Linked DNA regions of Oryzias latipes. The protein of the gene in region 4 interacts with the protein of the main gene of each other region in a biochemical or structural test. Links are inferred from orthologs where the notes say so. Each region holds a gene or a part of one and is shown on either strand. Other genes may lie near its edges. The genes, in order: mfn2, ube2j1, ccne1, prkn, mfn1, rnf41 and eif4b.

Region 1 (3,233 bases), on a different chromosome or scaffold from region 4:
AAGTGGTTTGTGGCCTGAAAAAGGCTGGAGACTAACTGCACTAAGGAACAACAGCAGATAAAGCAGCAAAGATCTGCAGCAGGACTTCAGCTCATCTTGTTCCACAGTGTGGTGTGCACTGGTCCACACTGGTACATAACCCAGGACACCACCCTCCTAAAGAGGTCTCTACTCTTTCCTCAGAGGGTCTGAAGCCTCTGCTGCCTTCCACGCTCAGAGACCAGGTGGAAAAGATGGTTCCTCGGCAGTGTTTCAGCCTCACCTACGACCTGGCCTGTGACAAACTCTGCAGTGACTTCCAGGAGGACATCAGCTTCCACTTCTCTCTGGGCTGGACCATGCTGGTGAACCGTTTCTTGGGCCCTAAGAACACACGGCGGGCCCTCATGGGCTACAGCGACCAGGTACTTGCATCTGGATCAAAGTCTTCTTTGACGCTGCAGGATTCTGTCTCTCAGTGAAGTCAGATGGTCACTCTGGACTGGTGGCTTGCTAACCCGACCAGCCTGTTTGATAACCTGAAGAAGGTTGTCTGGAATCAGTTGATCCAAGTAATGATGCAGCACTGCTGGAGACTAGCGACACTGCAGACCAGGCGGACCAGTTGAAGTTCTCCACCTGCAGGGACTCGAATCCCAAAGCCAAAGAGAGGGCCGATTCAGATCCTCAACCCAGCCCCTGTTCAAAACCAATAATCTCAAAGAAAAAGAAAATTACATCCATGAGCTAATGGCTTGTAGCTAAACAGTTTAGGATGCAGCCCCTTCACTGCTGCAGAAGTAGATCCTAACAGATCTTCTCAGTGCTGCAGAAGTAGACCCTGACAGATCTTTTCCCTACTGCAGATGTAGATCCTGACAGATCTTCTTTCGTGTTGCTTCTGCAGTTCTCCAACATTGACAGCTGCTGCTTTTGTCTGCTGTCCTGCAGAATTCCTTCATCTCCTCACTTACAGATGAGCTCATCTGGATGTTTGCATCGGTTGGTTGGTTTGTCTGAATGGTTTGAAAATGACCTGCAGGTTGATTCTCTGCTCAGGTTCTGCTTACTCCTGTCCATAAACAGGCTCATGTCTCTTCTGACCAAATGACATGGCTCTATACCTCCTTTGAGGGTTCTTTGGTTTGTATTTTTTGCTGTAAATAGAAGGACCGTAACCTCTCTAAACAAACTGCTTTCCTGTTTCATATTCTGATAGCTCAGACTCTCGAGCTGTAGATCACAACCAAAGCAGATGTGTGACCCGACTCTATGCCGCCCCTTCTAGGTTCCTCGGCCCATGGCTCTGACTCCAGTCAGCAGCAGCATGCCGCCGTTTCCACAGAGTGCCATGACTCAGGAAGAGCTAATGGTTTCTATGGTAACCGGGCTGGCTTCACTGACATCTCGTACCTCAATGGGCGTCCTCGTGGTTGGTGGTGTGGTGAGTGTCCCGACCCAAATGCAGGAGGCCGGCTTGTGAACCCAGTGTGATAAAAAAACCAGCTGAAACATGACAGAAAACAAAGCAGAGGATCTGACGATGACGAGCTGAACTCACTCACACACCAACTCTGTATCTTCCTGTATGCAGATCTGGAAGGCAGTGGGCTGGCGGCTGATCGCTCTGTCACTCGGTCTGTACGGCCTGCTGTACGTCTATGAGCGGCTGACCTGGACCACCAAAGCCAAAGAGAGGGCCTTCAAGAGGCAGTTCGTAGACTACGCCAGTGAGAAGCTGCAGCTGATTGTCAGCTACACCGGTTCCAACTGCAGCCACCAAGTCCAGCAGTGAGTCTCAAGCGGGTCGGGGGGTCTCTGCGGCTGACATGAGCTAACCGTGTCTCCTCTTGTGGTCGGCAGGGAGCTGGCGGGCGTATTTGCACAGCTCTGCCAACAGGTGGACATCACCCGCCAGAACCTGGAAGATGAGATCCAAGACATGAACAGCAAGATTGAACTGCTGGACAACCTTCAGAGCAGGGCCAAGCTGCTGCGGTGAGAACCCAAGGCCCGCGTGCAGATTAATGCAGATTATTGGTTAATGTGAACAACAGACGAGTTTTTGAACAGTTCTACTTTCCCAGACATCAGTGTAGGAAACTGGTGATGGGGGGTCTCCCACGGTTTATTCTGACTGCAGACCCCATAAGGTGTTAAGATCCTCTGGGTAGAATCCAAATCTGAATCCTTTGTCGTCATTGTACATATTCATGCAATGAAAGTGTAGCAGCCTTGGAGGCCGTGCTGTAGGTTTTTGTTTGTTTGTCAAATGGTGAACCTGAGGTGAACAAAGACTTTGGGGTTGATGAAGTGTCCTTCTGAAGAGCAGATGTCAGAGGACAGGGGGTCAAAGGGAGAAAATACATCAGTGCTTTTGAGAAACTCACAGAACAAAAGACTGGCATCAGCATAGACATTAATGGATTCAATCTGGTTTCCAATATTCTGACGGCTAAAACATGTCACTGATAAAGAACTACAGGAAAATATGAAGCATAAAAAAGCCCAAACTTCCTTCAGTGATGGTAAAAAGGTTGAGGGTTAAAGCTGTTTGCCATCAGACAGCGCTGTGACTGCTGCTCTGTTTTTGTGCTTTTGCAGGAACAAGGCCGGCTGGTTGGACAGCGAGCTGAACATGTTCACTCAGCAGTACCTGCAGCACAGCAAGTGATGCACCTGACCCGCCTGTGGAGGGGGGCAGAGCTTATTCTGCCCCATCCAGCTTCTGACTTTTGCTCTAATGTAATGCCTCTGATTGGTCGTCTCGATTTCAAAAATAAAGAACCACGATGGGAAAGGTGTATCTGTGCTGGTGTTCCGCCTCACACAAACCATCCTCCTCTGCCGCTGATGTCCTCTAAGGCTCTCAGGTAAAGCCTTAGTCACATGCTAAGGCGTGTGAGAGTGGACCCGTACGGGAGCTGTGGGTTTTTGGGGTGTCTGGGCCTGTGGGGGGGTCATAGAGAGGGGCAGCTGCACCTTAAGGGGAGCGCAGGTGTGTCTTGCAGTTCTCTTCAGGCTCGTACGGCCACCTAGGGACGACATGAAAACGGAACGTACCATTGTTGTGTGTTAAGTGTATTGTGAGGTGTTTGTAAGAATAGTGTGCCTCTATGCCACACTAGTCGTTAGCAAGCTCAATTAGCACCCGCACAGGGTGTGCACGTCATACACAAGTGTATAGGATGCCCACGCTAACTGTACTCTAAGTTGTTTTCTCAGCAATCAAGTAGGAGACCACGCTAATCACA
Region 2 (3,500 bases), on a different chromosome or scaffold from region 4:
GGACCTGCAGGCGGCGAGGAGCTGTCGGCACTCCCCCAGCAGGACACGTCCTCACCCGCTGGCCAGGAAGCGGCTGAGACGCCGCAGGCTGAACAGGTGGGTGTCCGGCTGCTGCCGAGGCCGCTCACGGCTGCAGCCTTTATTTTGGAGGACGTAAGAGGTAGAGTTGCCAAAGGCAATTATGTCGTCTGCTTGTCAGCTTTAGTTCCTGACTTTAATCAACCAGTCAGACATCAGCTCCGCCTCCAGCAGCAGATGCAATTTAGAGGTTTGAAGTGAGTTTTTTTTCCCTCATCAGCAGCTCCTCCAGCATGTGTGAGCTGCGTTGCCTAAGAGGATTGATTTTGGTGCCAGATGCTGTTCACACAGAGACTGAAGCAGCAGAGACGAGGGTCAACTTAGATTACTGCTTCTGCGCTTGGATCAACTGAAAAGGCCAGAATGGGAGCAACCATCTGCTGCTGCAGACTGGGTGGCCCACTTTTTACCCACAGAGCTCCTCACCGGTTTTTCCATTAGTTTAGAAATATTAAATATTTGCAACCAACCTTCCACAAAGTGAAACCTCATAGGCCTATGCAAATGTCATCATCCACTGAACAGAGTATCAGCAGGTGACTCAGAGAAATTGAAGACGTCTCTGTGCATCAGGGACAAAGACTATTATTGGATGCCCATCATCAGCAAGGCTGATTCAGTGACATTACTGCAGGGGAGCTGTGGAATTAACACTAAAATGTGCAGAATATCCATCTCCAAATAATTCCTTCAATTGGTCTTAACTTTTTAGTTTCATAATTTAATCATCTTCAGTCTGACGATAGAAGAGCTGATGTTCCAGGACATCTTTACGTCATAGTTTAACTCTCACCACCTAGCTAAAGTGATAATCCTGCCCCTGTTAGCCCTCCAAGTCTCAATGCATTGCCTAAAGCTACATTCACAGCGAATGCGATTTGTGTCAGTGGCGTCCAGTTTTAATGTTATGTCACCTTACAGACGTGATCAGAGGTCCTACAGCGCAATTTGAGCGCTACGCACAGGAATCTGGCCAGCAGGTTTTGCGCGGTGAAACAACACGACACAGCGGCTAATACATTGTTTCACGTTTCGAGTTCAAATTTCGAAACTTTGTCAAAGAATTCCCATCGCATTCATTCCAACCAGGACTCCGCTTTGGCCTGTGTCATGTTCAGTGGGTGGAGTCCAAAACCAACATGGAGGAGAGTCTGATTCTTCTTCTCCTTAACTTTATGATATTTTTCTAATTTGCATCCTCTAATTTTATTCTTATTAGTCTTTTTCGCTCCTGGGTCTAAAGCGGGACAGCAATTCATCAAACTGGGTCACAGAGAGACAATAGAGCTGCTAAAAACGCCGTCATTCAGGCATAGTAGTAGAGGATGACCTCGCCGTACCGGGACAGTCTCTGATCTCTCACCTGCATCCGTTTCCATGTAGGAAAGAGGCTAAAAGTTCTAGGCGGTAGCTCCTCCCACACAGTGTTCATACACCAGCAGGTGTATGAACACATTTTTGGACTGTAAATATTAATCGTATCAATATTTCTCTATGCTATTTGCTCTGCCTGAAAACTCTATTTCAATTAAGCTGCAATACAGTCCAGAAACAAGACTTTTAATAGAATAAATTTTTTTTTACAATAATCAAATTAAATTAAATAAAAGACTAAAAGGCTACTAAAACTCGATCGGGGAAGTTTTACAAGTCTTTAGCTTTTGGGCCTTTTTGTAAACTAGAAGTTATACATTCTAGCAACAAAATAAGTGTAATAACTAGTGTCCAATAGGGGGCAGTAGTTAGTGCAGCGGAAAACAGCGGAAAAAACATCAAAGACTGTTAGTTATGGAAACTGTTTGTGTCTGTTTGTAATTTCTTCTGGATTAAGAAAAGATTTTAGCTAACGTTTCCTGTGCAGAAGAATCGCTAAACATCATGATGTAATTGTTACTCCAGATCATCTCCAACATGATTGGTGGACGTCAGTCACTGCATTCTGTTTGTCCTGTTTTCAGGCAGAGGGACCAGAGGAACCAGAGGAACCCCAGCCCCCTGCCCCTGTGGACTCCATCGATTCTGTCCGGCAGCGCCGCTCCCCGCAGCAGCCCGGCTCGAGAGACAGCATTCAGGTGGCGGCCAGCAGGGTGGCGTCCGTCCCGGCGCCCCGCCAGCCTCTGGACCAAAGCCACGCCGGCTCTGCCGTCCTCATCCTGGTGCTCACACTGGCTCTGGCGGCCCTCATCTTCCGCAGGATCTACCTTGCCAACGAGTACAACTTCAACTACGAGTTGTGACCACGACCCCATCCTCCTCAATTCAGACTCAGAGGTCAGCTGGAGTGGAAGCAGAGCTGAGGCAGCAGCTGACTTTCTGCCCTCGCTGCTCAGCCAACAGGAAACCTCCTCCGGGGGGGGGGGCACTGCACATCACAGCACCTCCTTTTAATCAGTGTGAATTTGAACCCCCCTCCTTAGAACAGGAGGCTTGTTGTTTAGGATTCAGCTCAGCGTCTCCCACTTGTAACTGCGGTGCACCCCGCGGCTGCTTTCGTTCCCATTATTTAATTACAATTGTAATATGTCAGAACATGGAATTATGGGAAATTTCCTCAGACACAGCCAGAGAATCCTCCGAAGGCCACGAGTTAAGCTCCTGTCCAGTTTTAATGGGGCCAACAAACGGCAGAAGCGTTTTCCATCCGTCACCTGGAGTGAACGTGCTGCATTAGTTTTAGTTTCTTTAAGGTGGGGGGGCTCTTTCAGAATAAATGCATTCGTTTTAAATGGTGTGAAGCTTTTAAATCAGCGGGGCGGCTCTTTAATGGAGCGAGCAGCAGCTCTTCCTCACTGCCTGAGCACCGCCTGCCTCTGTGATCGTGTTGGCGTGGAGGGGTGTCCCTGCAGGGGGGGGGGTTCACGCTGCAAACCAGCCAGCAGCAGAGAACTCCCAGATTGTAATTTCTGGACCATTTAATCCGTCATACTTTCAATCTTTAGTGGTGGTTCATCAGCAGCAGCAGTTCTCACTCTTCATTTTTGTTTAAAGGCACCCCGTTGTTCTTTACCCCTTCATAGCGCCCCCCAAAGGCTGACAGGGAGGGTTCAGCTTTCACATTTTCTACATCAGAGTTCCAGGTTGACATGAACGCAGCTCTGAGGTTCCACTTGTGCGGCCTTTGATGCTTCATGCCTGATGGTCGTCTCTGCAACCTGCTGCTGAGCTGCACAGCCTTCAGTCACATTTAGGAAACAGGAAGAAGATAAGGGGCTTTGCTCGTCACTCAGCAGCCGCTCCCATGTTCATCTGCTTTGTCAGACGAAGAACCCTAAAGACAAACGTTTAGTCAAACCCGCCAGGTCAAGACTAAACACAGTAAATCCTTCTTTTCAGACTTTCTTGGAATTCATAATTGGGTCTTATTGTTTAATAAAGTTATTTAAAGTTTTAAATGTGTCTGTTTTCTGTCTATATTTAGCAAC
Region 3 (4,030 bases), on a different chromosome or scaffold from region 4:
TTCAGACGCCGCACAGCAAAACCTGCAGCAGAAATGCGGCAGAGCAGGTTTACCGTCACTCCCACGGCCGTTCAGTTTTTCAGAGAAGGGGGTAACGGCGGGAGCGTCCGACCGCCTCCGGATGCACCCACCTCCATGAGCCAGTCCAGCAGGATGGCCCTCATCCTGGGCTGCAGGTGGGGGTGCTTGTCCAGCATGCGGACGTCCCTGCAGTAGCTCTTGTCCTTGGCCAGCATGTTGCTCCACACCACGTCCTTGCTGGCCCAGCTGGAGAAGCCAGAGCGACCGTTAGCGGCGGCTCTCCGTGGCGCCGAGCCCGGGGAGGCGGGGTTTACACTCACCACAGCGCCGGCAGGGGGGCGCAGTGGACCGGGGTCACGAATATGTTGTGGAAGTTGAGGTGCAGGAAACCGGCACTCATCTGTTGGCGGCGCTCCGGCGTCCACCGATGGGGGCTGGTCCGGTCCGAGTCGGGGCTCCAGTCCACCTTGACACAGAAGAGAGGCTCAGAACAGCAGTTCAGAGGCAAACGGGACGCCGTTTCCTGGTCGTCAACCAGAGATTTTCAGCTTTCCGGCAGATCAGACTTGGATCTGAAACATCCGTACAGAAACGGCGTCAAACGGCGTCCTGGAGCCACATTTGGTGTCGAACGAGCCTCACCTCACAGTCCAGATGCTGCCTCTTCTTCGTCATCTCTGCCTCGTCTTCGTCAGGATCCTGTAGGAACTGAGACGCAAACACAACGACTGACGGCGACTTCTGAGCAGCTTTGAGACACAAAAACACAAAATCTTCATCACAGATGAAAGACACACTTCATGTCTACAGTGGAAGATGAAACTATCAAAATAAAAGCTCAAACAACTTTGATTCCAGATTATCTTCTGTTTTCCATTCATCAATTATCAATTACAGAAAGATATTTAAAAAAATATGAAATGATTAAATAGGAATCAACATATTTATTTAATTTCTTTTTTTTGGCACAAATCAGGTTGTCTTAGTAAATTTCACGACCAACACGTCTCATATTTGGAGTGTTTACGATTTTTACAGCTTTCTAGTTTTATTTTTGTAGCTTTTGTTCTCATGTTTATTCGTTTCGTCTCCACGATCTTAAAATGAGACAAACGTTCAGATAAATTAATAAAGTCCTTTTTTTTTAAAAACCAAACAAACCTTTTTATCAGTTCTTTTATTTTGAATCATGCGCCAAACTTTATGTAAATTCTAGAAGTTTGCAGAATAAACATTTTTGCAATTACACCGTTTCCATTAAATCACAATTGTACACAAAGCGACTGACGCGACACGTCATTCAAAAACACGCCAACGGGCGTGAACAAAGGGAGACGGCGGCCTCTTTTTCAGGCCGTGGAGTGGCGAGCTCCTCACATGTGGGAGGGGCTACGGAGGAAACAGATTTTGGGAAATGTGGAATTGTTGGATCCAACGAGATGCTCAACTTTTGACGAGCTGTGTGGCGCCCGCCGTGCAACAAGTCCGCCAGCTCCTACCAAGAAGCACCTCGCCATCCGGTCGTTGGTCACGTGGCTCATTTAATACAAAAAGCAGTTTTGACAAATATGTTAATTTAGACACGTCTCAAAAACTCCCCTCCTCCAAGCGCAGAAACCGTTATTTTTAATGATGAATGAAAGTTTTATCGTGTTTACATGAGACAAATTTAGCATCCAAAGCCGTTTTTATAGTCAATGGAAACTATGGGAAAAAAATGGTGTCAAGTTTGGATGCGAAGAAAACTAAAACGCAAATCTGTTTAACCGTTTTGTGGGGGTGTTTGTAGAACCTCAACCTCCTCCTGGAAATAAAAATCAATATAAGTTTAAATAATTTTAAATCACGTCTTGGAAAGAATTTCTGGCTAAATGGATCCATTTTTGTGGCCTTAAATATGGTTTGTGAGTTTTGTCATGTTTGGGCTTCCATAGCTGAAGGTTCTGCCGGACCATAAAGAGAGCAGAACCAGTCTGATGGACCAGTTCAGACCAGCTGGTCCGCTCACGTACAATGGCCACATCTGCCTTCCTCTTTCTGCTCCTCTCTGACCTCTCCGTGGGGGCGACACTCGTGGGCTCCTTCTGCTCCCTGTGGAGAAAAAACAGACGTGTCTTTGTGGTCCAGAAGCGTCCAGAACCTCCGCGCGGGCTCCCAGAGTTTAGCCCCCGAGGAGGAGGAGGCCACGGGGGTTAGTTAGCCGGACGGCTAACCGGGCTGCGCCGACGGACGGCGCCGTCAGAGCGGCTCATTCCCCCCGACATATTAAGCGCTGGAAGCGGGGTAAAAAACACAGCAACTCACCGCTGTCCTCGCATGGTCCTCGGACGCGCTGGCCCACACTCCGAGCAAACCTGCGGGGATGCCAGCGTTAGCTCCGGGCTTCCAGAAAACACCCAACCCCCACCCGAGCGGCGCCTCCTCCTGACAAAGCCCGGCGCAGAAGTGGCGGGGAAGAAGCGGGCTCTGAGGGCGCACGAGCCCGCGAGAACAAGAAGCGGCGCGTGCCCTCCCCCCAGAGGACCGCGAGCCCCCCGGAGCCCTCACAATCACTCCAGCCGCTCCGCGGGAACTTTACCTGCCAGCGGCCACGCAGAGCGGGACTTACCGAGACACCGAATACACAGTTCCCTTTCAGCGCGTAACACCCCGATGAAAAGCGAAAAGTTACCCCAAGAGACTCCTTGAAGTTCGCTCCGAGTCCCCGGGAGTCAGAGGCGGAGCTGCCCGCTCACAGAGCCTGTGCAGGCCGGGCGGGTTTCCCTGGAGCTGGCGCCTAAAACCCGAGCGTCCCTCCGGGCGGAGCCGCTTCAAACTGGCGCCAAAGCTCGGAGACTGGCGACCTTCTCCTCCATGGACCTCCTGACGGACGCGCGCGGGACTCTGAGTGGCTCTGACGGCTGCTGGCGCCTTCAGCTGCTGCTCCGCCGCCGGGAAAGAAAAATCCCGCTTTTGCAGCTGTGGGAGGGGCGTGGCCGCGGCGCTGACAGCTGCGGGGGCGTGGCCACCGGGCCGGAAGTGTGCCGGCTCCGCGTGGCCAGCCTGTCAGATGTAAACAAAGCCGCGGTCTCCCGGGAAAAACCGCCAAGAAGACTGGAAACCAGCGAAAATATGAATATTTTTGATGATTTTTGCAGATTTTTTAGATTTTCCCGCCTATTAAGCCACATAAGTGTCTCTTTTTTCCCTCCTTTACTCTGCGTCACAGAGACACGCCGAGAGAGGAAGTAACACGTTACATTTACCTTACACATTTTTGGTTAAATTGAGCTTTTAAGAGTAACTTTACTGCCCCTTACTGATTACCTTTACTTGGGTAAACAAATATTGATTAAGTTACTGTTTTGATCATTGTAACACTTAAAGATTTTGTTCCAGGAAGCAGAAGATCTTCGGGAAACAAGCGACATGTAATCTACTGAAAACTTAAGGCGGTTAAAAATAAAGGTTTTTTCCCATTTTTTACTTTTAATGCTGCAAAGAAATGGATTCATATTTTAATCCACTCATTTGGAAAATGAGTCTGAAAAGACTGTAAAAAGAAGATGTTTTTTTTCCATAATTTAATAAATAGTTTCCTAAATCCTGATTCCATGAGTTTGAGATATAAAAATATCTGTCTGGATGTATCTGTGTGTGTGCGTGAGAGAGTGTGTTTGTGTCTATGAATGCTTGTGTTTGTCAAATGTGACAAAGTTAAAGTGACTTCATGCTTTAGTAACTTTTTTCTTTCTGCAGAGACGTTTTGTTGTTTTTCTTTCTTTTTTTTGCGTCTCCCGTTGGCTGAAGGATCCTAACAGACGTGGTGGACGCGGCGTGCCGCTGACCTCTGCCCCTGACCTTTGCTCCGTCACGTGATCCGGTCCCTCGGTGGAAGCTGAACTTTAGTTCCTGCAGTTGGAGTTTCAGCCAAACCCAAACATGAAGTTCCTGGAGCTTTTCGGACGCTTGAAGTCAGTGGTTATCGGAATGATTCACGTCAAAGCGTTGCCAGGTAAAGTCTCCCGTT
Region 4 (3,500 bases):
TGCAGGGGTCAGAGGGCAGGAGCCCCGCCCCACAACCAGGTGCCGGACACATGAGTCCTCCCATTTTCAGTAGGCACTCCTCAGTGGCATATTGCTGGTACCGTGCATACTGTAAGATACAGATAGAGAAAGAGGACTGAGACCGCAAGTTACCTGTGCACAGGTGGGAAGGATTGAGTCTCTTCCTTTGTGTTACAAGTGAGATTTACCTACATCACATTGTAGAGTGAATATTTATTTTTATAGCAGGTATATTTTTACAAAAAGAGTTTGTTTCTTCTTTTATTGTGTGATAGTTTATTTTGTGATTTAATTCTATGAAAAAAAGGTCCGTCTAAAAAACATTGGCTTATTTGCACATGGCCGCAGCAGCTGCTTTTTGATGAAAGCTCTTTGTCAGCCAATCACAGGGCAGCATGAGGACCTGCTGAAACTCCGAGTGCACATCACTTTGGAGCAGCATCATCCCCTAACGTCCGTGTGTCAGCAGGCCGAGCTGGTGGGTGCTGCATCAAAGCTCAGAATGGTGGTGATGAAGAGTCCTGGACCTGCTGGGTGCCCATGAGGTCACCTACACAGTTTCAATAGCGGCTCATCCCTCTTCCGTCATCATCAGAGCCTCTGAACTCCAGCGGCTTGTCTTCAACGTGGGTGTCAGAGCCCTTGTGCTCAGCATGTGTTCCTGATGCTGTGGCAGAGAATCTGAGGTGCACTTACCTGGTCGTCACCCAGAACTCTGAAATGGTGCAGCTCTTTGATCAGCGAGTCCTCACAGCCCGCTGTAGACACAAACGCAGCGTCTTTACACACATACAGATCGGATTCACGCTTGTGCTCTCACTCTTGTTTAAATGTTGACAAAAGGTGTTTTGTCTGGTTCAGGTGAGTACCTGCCTACATCCATGCCGCTCACAGTCTATTCCAGCTAGTGACTCATGTTCTTCATCAATGTCCAGGACTAATTTGCCCACATTTTACATTTTTGATTTGGGTCATCAGACTGTTGTTTTTGATTCTGACCTGTTTTTTTCCCCAGACTTAGGATCACAGACAACTGGTTATAGGCTGAAATCTTCTTTGGATTTCTAAAGTTCATGATCCTTCATGTCTACTGACCACCAACTGGAGTGAGGTGCCTCAGACCTCTAGATGCACCTCCAGCAGGAAAAGCCCTTACCTCATTCATGTTTCACTCCAATTTTTGCAGATGAAACTAACCAAGGCTTTTGGTGAGAATAGAAAAAAAATAACATTTTATTACTGTTTGTGTCATTTCCTAGCAGTTTGTTGGAAATTTTGTCTTGTAGAAAGTAAATCCCAGATGTTGAGAAACTTTCTAATTGAAATTACGTTTTATTAAGAACTCTGTTGTCATCCATCTTTGATTATAGCTCAGCTATATGCAAATTGGTAGAGACAGTTGAAACAAAGCTGAAAAAGTACAGGCATTTTCCTGGTATTGGGATTTTCCCAGTCATGAGTATACTACTGTCATTTCATAGAACAGGTACCAATGCCCTGACATGTTTACTTCTGTAAACTCTTCAAGTTCCATTTTAAATGATACTCTCAAGTCCTGAGTTGTTGCTGTTTTTCGGGAGTCCACAAACTTTTACAACACAAGTTACAGACAAGTTACAGTCTGGGTCTCCCTGTGTCGGTCCCCAGCCTGGATAAAATACAGGGTTGTGTCGGGAAGGGCATCCGGCATAAAAATCTCTCCCAAACCACATGTTTGAATCAGTCAAAGCTGATAAACTGTTGCAACCCCTGAAGGGATGTGCTGAAAAGTGAACAACAACAACCCAGGTTGTCAAGTAAGGGAACTGAGACTCCTTCATCAAGTCTTCAGATTACAAGCCTGCTTATTTTGGTCAGAGTTCTGTCAGCTGTCTAGGATCACAGTTAGCCTTTTATTTGGTTTCCATCCACAGCCCAGTGGGCAAATCTGAAAGGTTAACCAGAAACGCAAGACCAGCCCCCCTATCCTCTGTTATCAGGGTCCATGTTTGTGAGTTTGAACCACCATGAAGGGCTCAACAGGCTCTCGTTACTCTGGAGAGCCATTGAATCTGAGCCAATGACCATAAACAGTTTTTTCCTCAGTACCAGGCGGGGACCAGAAGGTTCTGATTTGACCCTTTGCCTGAGGAACCATAGGCTGGTTCCTATATTTGTTGGCTATTTCCGTAGCACCAAAGTTATCAAGCCAAGGTTTGCCAAGGAAGAGGCTTCTCCACCTGACCTCTTCACCTCCAAGGTTAAATTGTGAACAATAGCAGAAATGTTACCAATAAAAGTAAACAGAATCGTGAACAATATTGTGTGTACAAATGGAATGTGCATTTTTAGTACAAAAAAGTACACCCAAGGAGGCATATGTTCATTTCTTCTTTGCTTTGGGGTGTGGTCTGTTCCTGTTTGTTTTGGTCTTTATTGTCCTCCACCACCCAATAATAACAGTCAAAACAGGTGATGTGGTGAAGGAGGTGAATCTTTCAGCATGGTGGTGACTGTACCACAGCTCCAAATCTTAGACACCTCCTAAAAAAAAAGGAAAACGCAGTTGGTGGTCTTTTGTGCTGAGTTATTGATGCTTCGGTGAGAGGGATTGTTTACGGAATACTACACCAAGATTTAGTAAATCTGTTCACTTTTGACGGAACCTCTGGAGAAGGACACGAGCAACTCTTTAGCTGTGTTGTTGTTGTTTTTTAGGATTGTCTTCATGTACTTCACTTTATTAACTTCACACTGTGGGCATTTCTGGAAATGGTTACTCAGCTTAGAAGCACAGAAAGGTGCTGGTGGGCTTTGGAAACAGTTGCAGGCACAGAGGAAGTCCACATGGACATCTTGTAGCAGCAGCAAAGCTGTGAATGCGAATGACGACCCTGTAGGTGTAACTCTGACATGCAAACGGTCACCACACTGACCCCCCGCTTCTCACCTGCACACGGCAGAGAGTATCCAATCGCAGCGTGGTGAACAAACTGTCGCTCGTTCAGGCGGCTCTGACAGTACAGACGGAAACAGTCCAGACATATCACATGGCGCTCTGAGCACTGGAAGACCAGGACCACGCCCCTAAAAGACAAAAGAAAACCATACGTGAGAGTGAGTTTGTGCTTAGGTGGGCCAAACTGCAGTTTGAAGTGTCAGAGCAAAGTAATGACATTCAAATTTACAGTTAAAGTTAAAGATAAAGTTATTTTTTCAATTTAATGTTCATTTTCATGTTTATGTCAGCTGGCATGATTCAACCCCCGACTTCATACAGGTTTCCACACATAAAATCATGTGCAAACTTGACAACGTGTCCAAAAACAAGTTTCACTTGATTTTTTTTTAACGAATAGTTTCAGTAAAATACCGCTTGCAAGAATCCATCTAGTGTGTTTGCCTTTGATGAGTGTGCTTTGCGGGTGTTTGTGGCAGAACACACTGAGGAATAGATAGTAGTGCACGAAATGTGATTTCCAAACATGAAACAGGATTGC
Region 5 (4,034 bases), on a different chromosome or scaffold from region 4:
TTTTGGTCAACAGGCAAGTGAACAGCAATGTTACAAAAAACGAATTAAACCAAAATATGAGTTAATTTAAAAAATCTCATTAATTTACAAAAAAAATTAAATTATATCAGTGCAAGTACAACTTTTGTAATTGTTCTTTTACAAGATTCATGTAGAATAAAAGCATCTGCTGGTGGTGTCTAAATTACGTATAATTCACCTTGTTGGTTTTTTTTTCTAGCTAATTTTGAAAATATTGGTGAAAATTCAAACGTTCAAGGCACCTTTTTGTGAGCCACCCTGAGATCCAAAGGTGAAATCTGTTTGTGTTCTTGACATTATTTGGATTGTAGCTTTTTATTTTAATGCTTTTAATCATCAATGGTATAGCCAACGATCTACATTTTTCTGCTCTACAGATGATGACGACTGGCTACCATGTTAACAGGCTGCAATAACACATGTTTGAAACACGCAATTGTCATACAATTCACAACAATAACATTTCACCTATATCACAATATTTGACATCAAGGTTTGCGTTACACAAAGGTTTTGTAAATGTTAACATTAGGATACATATGGTAAACATCCAACCATGCACCAAAGATGTCAGTCTTTTTGTATTTGTAATCAGTTCAGTCATTTAGTTTTACGAGTTTTTTTTCTAATGTATTAGTCCGTATGATTTCCTTCCAAGGTGCAGTGTAAAAATAATAGTTTGAAAAGGATTTATTATGTTATGAAACGGAAAAGCATGAGACCATGGTAGTTATTCGTTTATTATGCTATATGGAATACAAAATCTTAATGATAATGGTTATTTATTTATACTAATTTATTTGACTTACAATCAGTAAATGAACAAATGCTGACAACTTTAACAGCAGAGGTCTCTTTAAAGGAGTTATGCATTTTTCTGGGCGCCTATTGGCTCTGTTTGCATTCCGATCCTTAACTCCGCCCACCGGACTTTTGCTTGAAAAAGCCTTCATCTGCAGAGAAGGGAAACGGAAACACTGATACATACAGTTTCAAAATAAAGAAACATGATCACACAGATTTCAAATTTACTTTCAAGTAAGTCGGCATTGTGAAATATACTAATTATACATAAAAAATAAATATATAAAAAATTACCAAGGGATACTCGTAAACTTCCCGAACAATCAGCAGTCATATATTTTTGTGACAATGTCACACTGAGAAAGTTTTTATTTTGAAGGTCTGTACCGGAAGTTGTCTTTAAGTTCGTAATAAATTGCCGTCTATGCCTTTGCTGGGTACAAACAGAAGGTTAGCCAGGTTCAAAGCAGGACTTTTTTTTATAGTGATGGAAGTTTTCTGTACTGCCTACATGGATTTGTAGTGTTTATGTAATGAGAAGACAATATCAACTGTTTTAGGACTGTGGTAAGGAAAATAAAACAAAATTCACTTTTTGCTAATGCTAACTATGTGTTTGCGCTAGTTTGCTAGCTTAATTTGTTATACACTCACGGTTTGGGGACTTACCATATTTTGGTTTTGTGTGTTCAGTGTTATAACTAATGTTAAAAAAAAGGAAAAGTACACTTCCTTTGAGTGACCGATTTCTGTCATCTGCATGTGATACTGCAGGTCGTCCTTGTGTGTCACGCGTAAATTATGCTGTTTTTCTTTGGTAACTGCACATGTGTGTTTGACTTGTCAGGCGGGTCAGCTTTCCCACGTGTGTCCGCAATATTTTACTCATGCTACAGCTGTAAACAGGCTCAGTCTAAATAGCATTTCTGCTGATTTGGACTTTACCTACATCGAGTCCCTCTGTCTCTCCACAGTTTGGCACCATGTCTGCAGCCCCCCAACTCCGGCGGACAGACTCATCCCGGGGGGAGTTCTCCCCTCTAAAGCACTTTGTTGTGGCCAAGAAAAAGATTAGCGATGTGTTTGAACAACTGCTCAACTATGTGAAAGAGACCTCAGAGTTTGTGGAAGGTGGTCGTTTTCCTGAATGTCACTATTTAATGATATGTGAAAATGAACGCCATGTTTACCTGTTTATGTTATTCTTTTTTTTTTTTTCTGTGCTGACAGACATCAGTGGGAATACAGCTTTGGAGAACGTTGCCACCCCGGATCAAAAGTCTGAGATCCAGGCCTATGCGGACAAACTTGCAGTCATTAAGGAGGTGCTTGCTCGGAGGCACATGAAGGTAGCATTTTTTGGCAGGTGAGTTCATGTTCCACAGAATTGTTGACTTCTATACATTACCTGAGATTTTTGGGGGATGTGTCGTAAGTATCGTACTTTAACAAGCAAGGACATGTTATTTTTACAGCATTTTCACACAAAAATCATAAACAATTCAAATATCGCAATAAAAAAAACCATTAAATAAAACCTGCTTTTAAGGTAAAAAATAATAATAGATTTAAGTTTAAGGGCTTGAGATGACACTCCAGCACAAAAAATTAGTTTACTTGTGTGTTCTTTGCTTTTAGAACTAGCAATGGGAAAAGCACAGTGATCAATGCGATGCTGAGGGACCGCGTGCTGCCCAGTGGAATTGGCCACACTACCAACTGCTTTTTGAGTGTGGAGGGCACAGATGATGACAGGTCTTATCTGAAAACAGAGGGTTCTGATGAGGAGAAGAGTATTAAGGTACATTTTGGTACTTTGGTTTTTACATTTCCTGCTTTTAAACTGTTTTGATCTAAATTGAAGAGAACGTTGGCATTTTGTGTAATTTTCTTGAAACCTTTTAGTCATCAATCTAATTTAACTCACAATTCCTCCACAGACTGTAAACCAGATGGCCCATGCGCTCCATATGGATGAGAGTCTGGACGCAGGCTGTCTGGTCCGTGTGTTCTGGCCAAAAACCAAGTGTGCGCTACTTCGAGATGACCTGGTTCTAGTAGACAGGTGACAGGATCAGTCATTTGGTTTTAAAGTGTTCTGCATTATATTTTGCAATTCCCAAACGTGTTAATAATTTTTTTTTACAAATGTCAAATTGAATGTATATATTTTCTGCCTCTTCCTGTCACTCGTTCTTTAGTCCTGGGACAGATGTAACGACACAACTGGACAGCTGGATTGACAAGTTTTGCCTTGATGCTGACGTCTTCGTGCTGGTGGCCAACTCAGAGTCCACTCTCATGAACACGGTAATGACTGTCACCCACACAAGTTTATGTTTAGTCAACATCCTAAAGGATTTACAGAATATGTGGGGATCTGGGTTAACCATTGTAGTCCATTTGCTTTAGGGGTTAAGGAAACATTCAAGGTTAGAGAATTCCTTCAGCCAGAAACAGGCTAGCTGGATGACTTCTGAACTAATAAATGATGGAAAATTGTGCCTCCCCCCCTGAAATGTTGGTTTGTTGTTAAGTTTTGATCTTGTGACATTTTCACTGTTTTAAAGTGAGAATAACTACAAAACTTTGGTTTCAAAAGTTTCCTCAACTCTCAGCCAGTTTTGTAATACTTAGAGAAAACAAACCTTCATATTTCATTTCAATTTGTCAATTCAGACAAAGTAATTATATAGAACACTCTTTTTTTTATTGAATTAACAGTTAAAAAAAAGCTGTTTCTGATTTTAAAATATGATTAGATAAATGCTTTTTTTATTCCTGTATGGAGGTTAACACATACATTTTACATTATGAAAGAAATAGAAAACAATAAACAGCTCTGTTTCATATCATTGTGTTTCTGCAGGATTATCTGAACATTTAAATAGCTGAGGCTTATTTTACCCATTGTGATGATCAGCATATACAGACAAGACTATAAATATTTGGACAGAGACTCATTCTTTCTAATTTTGTTTCTGTACTTTATCACAGTGAATTTGTCCCATGAAATGAAGGGATTGTGTTTAAAAAATACGTTTTTCACATTTTTATGCAATCTTTTTGTTCAACCCATGGAATAAAAGCTGAAAGTCTGCACTTCAATGGCATCTGAGTTTTTTTTTTTATTTAAAATTCACTGTGGTAATGTACAGAAACTAAATTAGAAAGAATGTGTCTGTGTCCAAATATTTATGGTTATGACT
Region 6 (4,277 bases), on a different chromosome or scaffold from region 4:
GCAAAATCCGTGAAGTAGAAACCTTTATTTTTTTTAAACTATTATTATACAATTAAATACTCTATTATACATTGAAAAGAAAGAACAAACCAATTTACAGGCTCAAGCATTTGTTTCACAAATAAAAGTACTTTAGAAACCTTTTTTTCAACAAATAACTCTGTACTGTACTGTCAAATAATAATTTTAATGAATGTGAACAGAAGGCTTCAAATCGCGGAGATTAGCCCCGCCCACCGCGACCCGAGTATTGGATTAAACGGGAGAAAATTTAAAATGATTATGAAAAAAATACAAAGTACAGTGGGACAAATAGTGACTCAGGTGTATTTCACTGCTCTTCAGACTGAGCCGCTGCATCCTGACTCAGCTCTGCAGTGTTTTCTTCTTTTGAAGCCCGCGGTGCAGCTGTGTTTGTTCGGGAGAAGAACATAGTGATAGGCAGTTGTTGTCGCTCTTTTTTCTGCTTTGCAAAAAGATCCTTATACACCGACTTGCCACCATCAAGAGAATTTGCACGTAGTAATGAAAATTTGGCAAGCTGATTTACGTACGTGCACATATTAAACTGCAACGTTATTGACGCACAGGTAGAGAAGAAGCGGAGTGACTTTTTAGCCAATCAGAATGCAGAACACAATGCACCATGCAAATCCGTGAAGTAGCGAAACCGTGAAAAGCAAACCGCGTTATAGCAAGGGATCACTGTATATCCAATTCCTTGTAAAAGTAAACTTGCCTGCACTGGTTCTTCCAACACTCCACTGCAAATAGGACAGAGGAGGTCTTCATCCACCTCACCCTGGAACCTCGTAACATCGTACCCCATGGTACACTACCCACAACCTCCTGAGCATCAACAACAGGTAGCACACAAACAAACAGTAAAATGTCAGTACTTCAAACGGTTGTGATGCACAAAGAAGGAAACAACACAATTGTATTAATACATGTCAATTAATACAATTTTACACTTTAAATTTCAGCATTTAAATGGGAATGATTAATTATATGTAATTTCAATGACTTTAGACTTTCAAATCATTTAGTAATATCTTCATTTACATAAAATAAGTGCTGAAATGGATGTATAAAAGTAGGGCATACTGAGATTTTACCCTTTACACAATTGTTTAAAAACATAAACAAATGGATTTATTTTGTACAACAAAAAAAACATCTACTTCATGTGACCGCATAAAACTGCTTTAGTCAAGGTCTCACAGGGATTTAACTAAGAACAAGAAGTCTGAAAACATCAGTCAGCAAGCTGAAGAAAATTACAACAGCAAGTAATTAAACTGTTTGAGCCCAAATCTGTGCAAAAATGTGTCCATCACCCTTGTTGAGGTTAGTCATCTGAGCTACTAAAATGAAAAGCACAACAGTTTCATGGGAAAAAAAATCTTCAACAAGAAGCTTTGTGGTTTTGGACTACTTAAAAAGCATTGTGTTCATATTTTTCCATGCCATTCATACAATAAAATTACCAAACTTGCAAAAAGGAGAAAAGGGTGAAAACATTATTTCTCTGCATGAGTTACTTTAGTTAAAAAAATGCTTAGTACCTCTTAAATATCTCTCTCTATATATATATCTATCTCTCTCTCTCTCTATATATATTTTTTTTTTAAAGAAAGTAAAACTATACCTATACCTATACAGCTATTTGCTCGTTAATGCTAAAATCTGGCAAATAAATAAATAAAGACCAATGTTAATCAAAAACTTGATGTAAAGTTGTTTGTTATTTGTTTAATTTAGCTTTTTGGGACAAAAAGCATTGAAATAAATTCCCATGTTTGCTGACATATTTAAATAGCTGTGATTTAAAAGAACCCCCAGAAAATCAACTCTTTCCCAGAATTACTGTGTCAAGAACAGATAATATAAGGGGTTTAAGAGCTTTATTTAACCATATATGAAAAGACAAACTATTCGAGACAAAAAAAAATAGCCTACGTGATAACAGTTCTGCTGATGCGCAGCATAAAAAAGCGGTGCCCTTGAGCCGAAGTTGTGTTATTTTTCAGCCGCATCTCATCGGCATCCACATTTATACTGGGTTAAAATCTGAGGATTGGATTTCAATATCTGAGTACTTTCCAAATAGGATACTGACACCAATTCGGTTCGAGTTAGATTCACCTGACAATTCGATTTTAGCATCATTAAACGATAGCTTTAGCAAAAGTTAGCGTACCGCTAAAGCTAGTGTTAGCTACGTGGAGCTCTTTTCCCTTTGACAGTTTACTAATATATAATGTTAAACTATTTTACACAAACACATAAAAGTAAATAACAAATTTAGTGTTTCTTCAGAAAGAAAAATTAACACATGTCACGGGTTATTAGGAACTGACTTATGTCAAATATAGGTATAGGGTTAGCATCTACCAAAACAGTGGTTTTCATGAATGTTAGCACTCAAGCTAACCCGACGGATCTCAGATAGCACAAATATTTATGAAAGCGACTTTAATAAAAAACACTATGAGAAAAATAAAATTCACTACTATACTTACTTAGGCATGAAGCAAAACAGGTCCTTGTCAGGTTTACAAATGTTTAAAAACGTTGTACCTTCGCTAGCAATGTGCTAGCCACGTCTTGCTACATCCTACACTTGAACGTTGGCAGGAAGAGGAGGACTCTACCACAGGTTCTGAAGGTCTATGTCATTCTGTTCTTCAAATCAAACAGTTGATAATATTCCAATGGGGTTTAATGATCACTTTTCCTTTAGCCTGTTATATATGTTATGAAAGATGTGTTCGAAATGAGATTGAAAAACGGAATAGATTTTTGCCGCTGTCCCCTATTCTTGTTTGTAAATTGGTCTATTCCATAGTCTTCGTGCTGTCGAGGACCGATTACGTTTTTTATGTGTTAATTTAACCTTTATTTAACCATATAGAGAAACAGTTATACTTTAAAATGACCACCCAGATGTATTTAGGCATGTTTTTAGAAAACCAGAAAGCGATTACATTCTAAGGATTTTGACACACAATAAAAACTTTTTTCCCAGGAAATATTTTAGTTTTTACAGTATATTATTTTTATTTTGTTTTGTGTAGTTTAATTTGATAGAAATAATTGAAGATATTTCTTTTTGTTTTTAAACTTTTTTCTATCTTGGAAATGTCAGTTACTGTACTTTCTTTGTTCATCTGCCTTTTTCATGAAGTAATGGAACATTTTCTGACATATTTTTTTTATCATGTTAATAACATTATGCCCTGCATACATAGTAAACTTTAACAAAACTTTTCATGATTCTTTACCCAAAGGAAACAGCAGAAAGGAACATGTGAGCCATTGTAAATACAGAGTGTGGGTTCCAGACCATGAACATTTTTCTAAATTCTGCTGCTGGTGATTTGAATGATTGAAATGTCAAAAGACAGAAAACAATTAATTTAATAAACAGGAACCTCAGTAGTCAGCTACAACAGCCTCAGTCGCCACCGGTCCCCAGTTTGGTTACACACTCCTGTGTAATGGCGTCCCATTTTTCATCCAGCGTTTGTTGCAAGTCCAACATTGTTGCTGCATTAGTCACTCCTGCATAAAAAAATAAAAATCACACCCAAAATTGTTCCCTAAATTTAACACTTTGATTGACTTGAAGGCAGAATTGTCAGCAAGGTATTCGACTCTTCCCACTTCCAAATTCAGAAAGTAACATCCATCTACAGTGAGCGGCGGTTTGGCCATCTTTACAGGTTAAATCCTGTGGAGAATTATCTCTGGTTGCAGAATCTCATATTTTTCTTAATTGTGATTAGCTGTTTGCCAAGACAACTGCTGGTCTTATTGCCCTGCAAACATCAACTGCAAATCTGTAAAAAAAAAAAAAAAAAAAAATAGTGCAAATGAGAAGAAAAGGTGTCCTTAGGCTGTCTTCTTGGGACATTGACTTTTTTAGCCCATCTCTGACATTTATTGTTATAAAGTAATAATCTTAGCCTTCAATTTGGAAATGGAAAAAGAAATTATCTTCAACAAATACTGGGATTTAGTTTTGTAAAACACCACTCTGTAGTTGCCCTATTCCATAGGCCAACCCAAAGTAGGTCAATCAGTTGTTAGCAGCAACTGGGAGTACCTACATCTCAGAACAAGAGTTAAAAAATAAAAAACACATTAAAGGCTGCTTGAAATTGTCATTTTTTTATGTATACATTGTATTATCTCACCATTTGTTCTAAGTGAAGTATGCAATACTAAATTTTTTTGTACATTTGAGGCATCTGCTATTCCATACCAGTAGA
Region 7 (4,005 bases), on a different chromosome or scaffold from region 4:
AGAATAGCAATTGGTTTTTGTCTCTTGGGTCACATTTCATATAACATTATAAATAATAACATTGTTAAAACACAAAAAATATAAATAAAATGCTTAAGTTTCCACTTTGTGGCCTCTACAAGAAGCTTCAGGTCTGTGTTTTGAATTTTATAAGAATTGTCACTTGTTTTAAAGGTTGTTCACTCTCAATCCTATCAGCTTTCATAAATGGTGGCTTGTTAAAAATAAGCAAAAAGGTTATAAGGTAAATATGAGGACAAAATGCAGCCTTCCCCTTTGATGGGATGTCTTGTGTAAATGAGTTTTATGCATTGATGCCTTTAGTGGGAGTGGATGGCAACCTGAGAAAACGCCCTCTGAAAAAGCGGTTATTTGTTTGCTTTATTTACAGCTGCTGCAGTTATGAAGAACTGAGTAAAAAGGTTTACTGGTCTTGATACTTTTGACCAATCAGAGTACTTTTTTAAGATATGCGCAGCACAATATTTAAGTGATTAAGAGGTAAGATTTTACTTTTATTTTGTTTTGTACGTGTGTGTGTTGCATATTTATTAAATAGCCTACAAGCCGTGTGTAAACTTTGCACATATGTCTGAAACAGATTTCTACTTGCAAATATTTTTTAAAAAGCTGTAGACAAAACAAAGAAAAACAAAAAACAGTAAAAATAATATACAAGTGTAAATTTATGTATTAAAAAAGGTAGTTCAATTGTATAATTTTAGAGATTTGGACCACTGTGCATGGGTCCACAACGCCAACATTGGTTACCATTACAATATATTTTTTTTCACACTAAGTTCCCTAAACCAGTACAAGGCAGCTTAGTTTAAACAGCACCTTTTATACAGGTGATGTGTGCAAACAGAAAAAGCTTTGGCAGTATCAAGCAAATAAACAAATTAAAAAAACGTATTTACGTATTTTAAGAACAATTTTCAACATGATACTAAATTTAAAGAAAAGCGTTTATTGATTTTTTTATTTAAAGAAAACAATAATAAAGTCATGCATATCATTTTTTGATTCCCCACCATAACGGCTGTTTTATGTTTTATTTTTCAACTATAAAAATTTAAATGTAAATATAGACCAGAGTAAATATTCAAAAATACATATTTTTGGATTTCTTTTTACAAAATTGTGTGTGGGTGGGTGGGTGTTAGGCCCATGTAATGTCCAAGCAGGAAACTAGGGAGGAGGCCGAGGCGCGCAAACGGCGATGCGCGCTCCCGACAATAAACAACTGACGCTTTCATCCGGGAACTTTATGGAACTCGCTCTCCAACATGGCGGCGTCAGGTGAGGTTTATGTGGGTGAGCGCCGTGGGTCGGTTATTAGAAACGTGTACAGCGAGTTACTTCAAAACAAATTTTCAGTAAACGTCTTAAAAATGACACGCTGTAGCCTGATCGGCTAACGTTCTTGTCTCCGGCCTGAACGCTTGTTTGGTGGCTGTTTAGCCCGCCGAAGACGCAGATGGCTGGGGTTAAGCTAATGACGGAGCAACTGGCTGTTATCGCAACGTTTTCGTGGATAAATCGGAAAGGAGGCTCTGGGGTTTGTTGCTATGCGACCTGTTTGTTTTCGCTCCATATAACATGGACTGATCAGGGGGACATAGGTTGCGGGTCGTTCCCGCAGAGCTGGCACACTGCATGTCAGTTGCAGAGCTACTCAGCTAGCCGTGGCGCTCGCGCTCAGGACACCGGGCGCAAGCGCGAGTTCTGAAGGAGGGGTTGGGCTGAGGCGTCCAGGCCGCCTGAAGTAGAGGCTCCCCACGTGTGCGGCGCCGTTCCCTTCTTAGCTGGCTGTGGTGAAGCTGGGCCTGCTGGGTCGCATCCGAAGCGCCGAGCTGTCTGCGTCAGAACTGGAGTCGTGGTTGGTTCTTTCAGCCGGACAAGTCCGACGCAGTTGATGGCGCACTTGGATCCCAGCGCTGCTACGTGCGCCACTAGGCCCTAAAACCTAGCCGGCTAAGCAGGGATACTTCCCCGTCAGCACTCTTCTGCTGACTAAGCCCGCATAGACACAAAAGACAAAAGCGATCAGCCCAAACAGAAACCTCCCGACACGTGCTCATATACTACTCCCGCTAAGTTTTGCCCCTTTAGTGCAGCTTTTTGGTAAATTACCTAGTGATGCAAGCACGTGACGTTCACTATACCGAGGCTTTTCCTATAGAAATAGAAGATCAGTCTGGTTTTCTGTACACCTGACAGCCGGGATTTTCACAGAAAAGCACAACCAGCTCTGTCTCTACGCCTTTTCTGCCTCAAACCAAAAACATCCAACCTGCTCTGGTTGGATCATGAATGAAGCCTCGTGAGAAACTGGGGGCTTTGTGAGGAATGTTACACTACTGTCTGACCTTCAACTCTTCATATTTGATTGCTTTGGCATTGATTAAATGTCATGAAACCAGCTTTTGCCCCCTGTATTTTTTTGTGGCTTGCTGTTCTGATGGATTTATTTTAAATGGCTTCCTCAAGAGATGTCTACTGTAGTGAAGGGTGTGTTCAGCATTTCAGGCCCACGTGAGCTAATAGGAGTCAAGCGCCTTCTGATAAGTGGCTGGCTGCCCTTAGTTTGCCTCATCTGCCCTTTGCAGCAAATGTGCAGTCAAACCTACTGAAGGTGATTTTGTTGTAAGAAAATCCTGTTGGCTGCAGGTGAAGATTCTGGGAAAATGGACGTGTCCTTCGGACTGCCTTCCACTGTTGCGTTGTGATCGTGTGCAACAAACTTTGCATGTCGAGTTGGTTTAAAGCTCTCATCGTTTTGACTTAAAGGTGCATCGTGTTGGTGTAATTTGGCAGTTGGGCCTGCAGGCCACTCCCTGAACATTTCTCCAATGGGGAAATAAGTGTAATATTTATCATGTACACATGGTGCCCCCCCCCCCCCTTATCTAACTCTGCTCCACATCTTTTTGCACAGAGGAAAAAACCTGCATGCTTCAGGACAGACAGAACAGCAGTTTTACGAACAATAATGTCGTTCTAATAACGCCTCTGTTTGGGCAACACAAATATTATCTGCCGGTACGCTCAGCACCAGGCTGTGAAATTTGACTAACTTGAGGATGACGTCTCCTAACTTGATGTGTGGTGTCCGTCTATCTTCTAGCTAAGAAGAAGAACAAGAAGGGGAAGACCTTCAGTCTCACTGACTTCCTGGCAGAGGACTCTGGAGGCAACCCCGCCGCGCCTCCCAGCTACCCAAGCAAGTCCACGAGTTGGGCAGATGATACTGACGACCTGGATGGAGACGGTGAGCAGAAAAAAACGAATGGTGTGTAGTTCAGTGTTTTTTATTCTCTTAATGGAGGAAAAGTTTGAGCTGGGGATGTAGTTGGACTCTTCTGAAACTGCCTCAATACTACGGAGTGCTGAAGGAAACGAGCATCAGCAGGCTGGTAAAGGCAGCGGGATGCAGGCGACGTTCAGCTGCAGAAAGCTCACATCCAGCAAAGGATGGAGTTCTGCTTAAGCTTTCATAAAACTGCTCTAAAATGTGGACTTGATCACACTTAATTCCTTTGTTTGCTTTTAAATAGTGATGTGAGGCCAAACCTGTGAAGAGTTTGTACTCTGAAAATTAAAAAAACAACATTTCCAAAGTACGGTTTTGTGTATTCTTTAAAAAATCAAAATCCTATATTGCGAAGGCCAAGAGGAAAGTTCATGTTGTAAAAATGTCAAGGAAAAGATTGCTGTACTTAAAAAGCAGCTGTTTGTGTGGTTTTTTTGTGTTTTTTTTTCTTTTTTCTTCCAGGGCTTTTTGCTGTGAATCCTAAACCCAAAAGTTTTTATTTTTTGTTGTTGCTGTATGTGTTGACCCTTTTAACACCTGGGGGGTATTCCAGAAAGCACGTTTAAACTACCCCGACTTTAACCCTGAACTCTGGCTGAAATCCACCTGAACTTGCTTACTCTGGGTATGTCGGTTCCAAAAGACCGGATATGAGTTGGCGTAATTACGCTGGACTTGGTAACCCTGGG

The links.
Region 1: of the proteins of prkn (region 4) and mfn2, one has a biochemical effect on the other in vitro, tested with the Homo sapiens proteins (2 studies listed by BioGRID). The link is inferred for Oryzias latipes from reciprocal best matches to the Homo sapiens genes PRKN and MFN2.
Region 2: the proteins of prkn (region 4) and ube2j1 form a complex in vitro, tested with the Homo sapiens proteins (4 studies listed by BioGRID). The link is inferred for Oryzias latipes from reciprocal best matches to the Homo sapiens genes PRKN and UBE2J1.
Region 3: of the proteins of prkn (region 4) and ccne1, one has a biochemical effect on the other in vitro, tested with the Homo sapiens proteins (2 studies listed by BioGRID). The link is inferred for Oryzias latipes from reciprocal best matches to the Homo sapiens genes PRKN and CCNE1.
Region 5: of the proteins of prkn (region 4) and mfn1, one has a biochemical effect on the other in vitro, tested with the Homo sapiens proteins (3 studies listed by BioGRID). The link is inferred for Oryzias latipes from reciprocal best matches to the Homo sapiens genes PRKN and MFN1.
Region 6: the proteins of prkn (region 4) and rnf41 form a complex in vitro, tested with the Homo sapiens proteins (2 studies listed by BioGRID, with this or other methods). The link is inferred for Oryzias latipes from reciprocal best matches to the Homo sapiens genes PRKN and RNF41.
Region 7: of the proteins of prkn (region 4) and eif4b, one has a biochemical effect on the other in vitro, tested with the Homo sapiens proteins (2 studies listed by BioGRID). The link is inferred for Oryzias latipes from reciprocal best matches to the Homo sapiens genes PRKN and EIF4B.

What each region holds. Positions count from the first base shown.
Region 1 is NC_019865.2:32,497,029-32,500,261, forward strand, and holds the end of mfn2 (mitofusin-2), read left to right. Parts: intron 1-183; coding exon 184-404; intron 405-1,267; coding exon 1,268-1,423; intron 1,424-1,573; coding exon 1,574-1,770; intron 1,771-1,842; coding exon 1,843-1,977; intron 1,978-2,583; coding exon 2,584-2,653; 3' UTR 2,654-2,733; downstream 2,734-3,233. UniProt on the Homo sapiens protein: Mitochondrial outer membrane GTPase that mediates mitochondrial clustering and fusion. Mitochondria are highly dynamic organelles, and their morphology is determined by the equilibrium between mitochondrial fusion and fission events.
Region 2 is NC_019882.2:20,275,698-20,279,197, forward strand, and holds the end of ube2j1 (ubiquitin-conjugating enzyme E2 J1), read left to right. Parts: coding exon 1-96; intron 97-2,036; coding exon 2,037-2,315; 3' UTR 2,316-3,470; downstream 3,471-3,500. UniProt on the Homo sapiens protein: Catalyzes the covalent attachment of ubiquitin to other proteins. Functions in the selective degradation of misfolded membrane proteins from the endoplasmic reticulum (ERAD) and is essential for cells to recover from ER stress.
Region 3 is NC_019861.2:36,308,424-36,312,453, forward strand, and holds the start of ccne1 (G1/S-specific cyclin-E1), read right to left. Parts: upstream 2,801-4,030; 5' UTR 2,693-2,800; intron 2,376-2,692; 5' UTR 2,340-2,375; coding exon 2,326-2,339; intron 2,113-2,325; coding exon 2,034-2,112; intron 730-2,033; coding exon 664-729; intron 488-663; coding exon 342-487; intron 268-341; coding exon 132-267; intron 1-131. Other genes in the region: uncharacterized protein F13E9.13, mitochondrial, read left to right, coding at 3,943-4,015. UniProt on the Homo sapiens protein: Essential for the control of the cell cycle at the G1/S (start) transition.
Region 4 is NC_019873.2:12,968,318-12,971,817, reverse strand, and holds part of prkn (E3 ubiquitin-protein ligase parkin), read right to left. Parts: intron 3,088-3,500; coding exon 2,951-3,087; intron 780-2,950; coding exon 718-779; intron 110-717; coding exon 1-109. UniProt on the Homo sapiens protein: Functions within a multiprotein E3 ubiquitin ligase complex, catalyzing the covalent attachment of ubiquitin moieties onto substrate proteins. Substrates include SYT11 and VDAC1.
Region 5 is NC_019862.2:9,083,667-9,087,700, reverse strand, and holds the start of mfn1 (mitofusin-1), read left to right. Parts: upstream 1-1,234; 5' UTR 1,235-1,392; intron 1,393-1,799; 5' UTR 1,800-1,808; coding exon 1,809-1,956; intron 1,957-2,055; coding exon 2,056-2,191; intron 2,192-2,463; coding exon 2,464-2,626; intron 2,627-2,765; coding exon 2,766-2,890; intron 2,891-3,026; coding exon 3,027-3,135; intron 3,136-4,034. UniProt on the Homo sapiens protein: Mitochondrial outer membrane GTPase that mediates mitochondrial clustering and fusion. Membrane clustering requires GTPase activity. It may involve a major rearrangement of the coiled coil domains.
Region 6 is NC_019865.2:22,245,519-22,249,795, forward strand, and holds the start of rnf41 (E3 ubiquitin-protein ligase NRDP1), read right to left. Parts: upstream 2,801-4,277; 5' UTR 2,526-2,800; intron 850-2,525; 5' UTR 830-849; coding exon 740-829; intron 1-739. UniProt on the Homo sapiens protein: Acts as E3 ubiquitin-protein ligase and regulates the degradation of target proteins. Polyubiquitinates MYD88. Negatively regulates MYD88-dependent production of pro-inflammatory cytokines.
Region 7 is NC_019863.2:29,761,177-29,765,181, reverse strand, and holds the start of eif4b (eukaryotic translation initiation factor 4B), read left to right. Parts: upstream 1-1,205; 5' UTR 1,206-1,289; coding exon 1,290-1,302; intron 1,303-3,130; coding exon 3,131-3,295; intron 3,296-4,005. UniProt on the Homo sapiens protein: Required for the binding of mRNA to ribosomes. Functions in close association with EIF4-F and EIF4-A. Binds near the 5'-terminal cap of mRNA in presence of EIF-4F and ATP.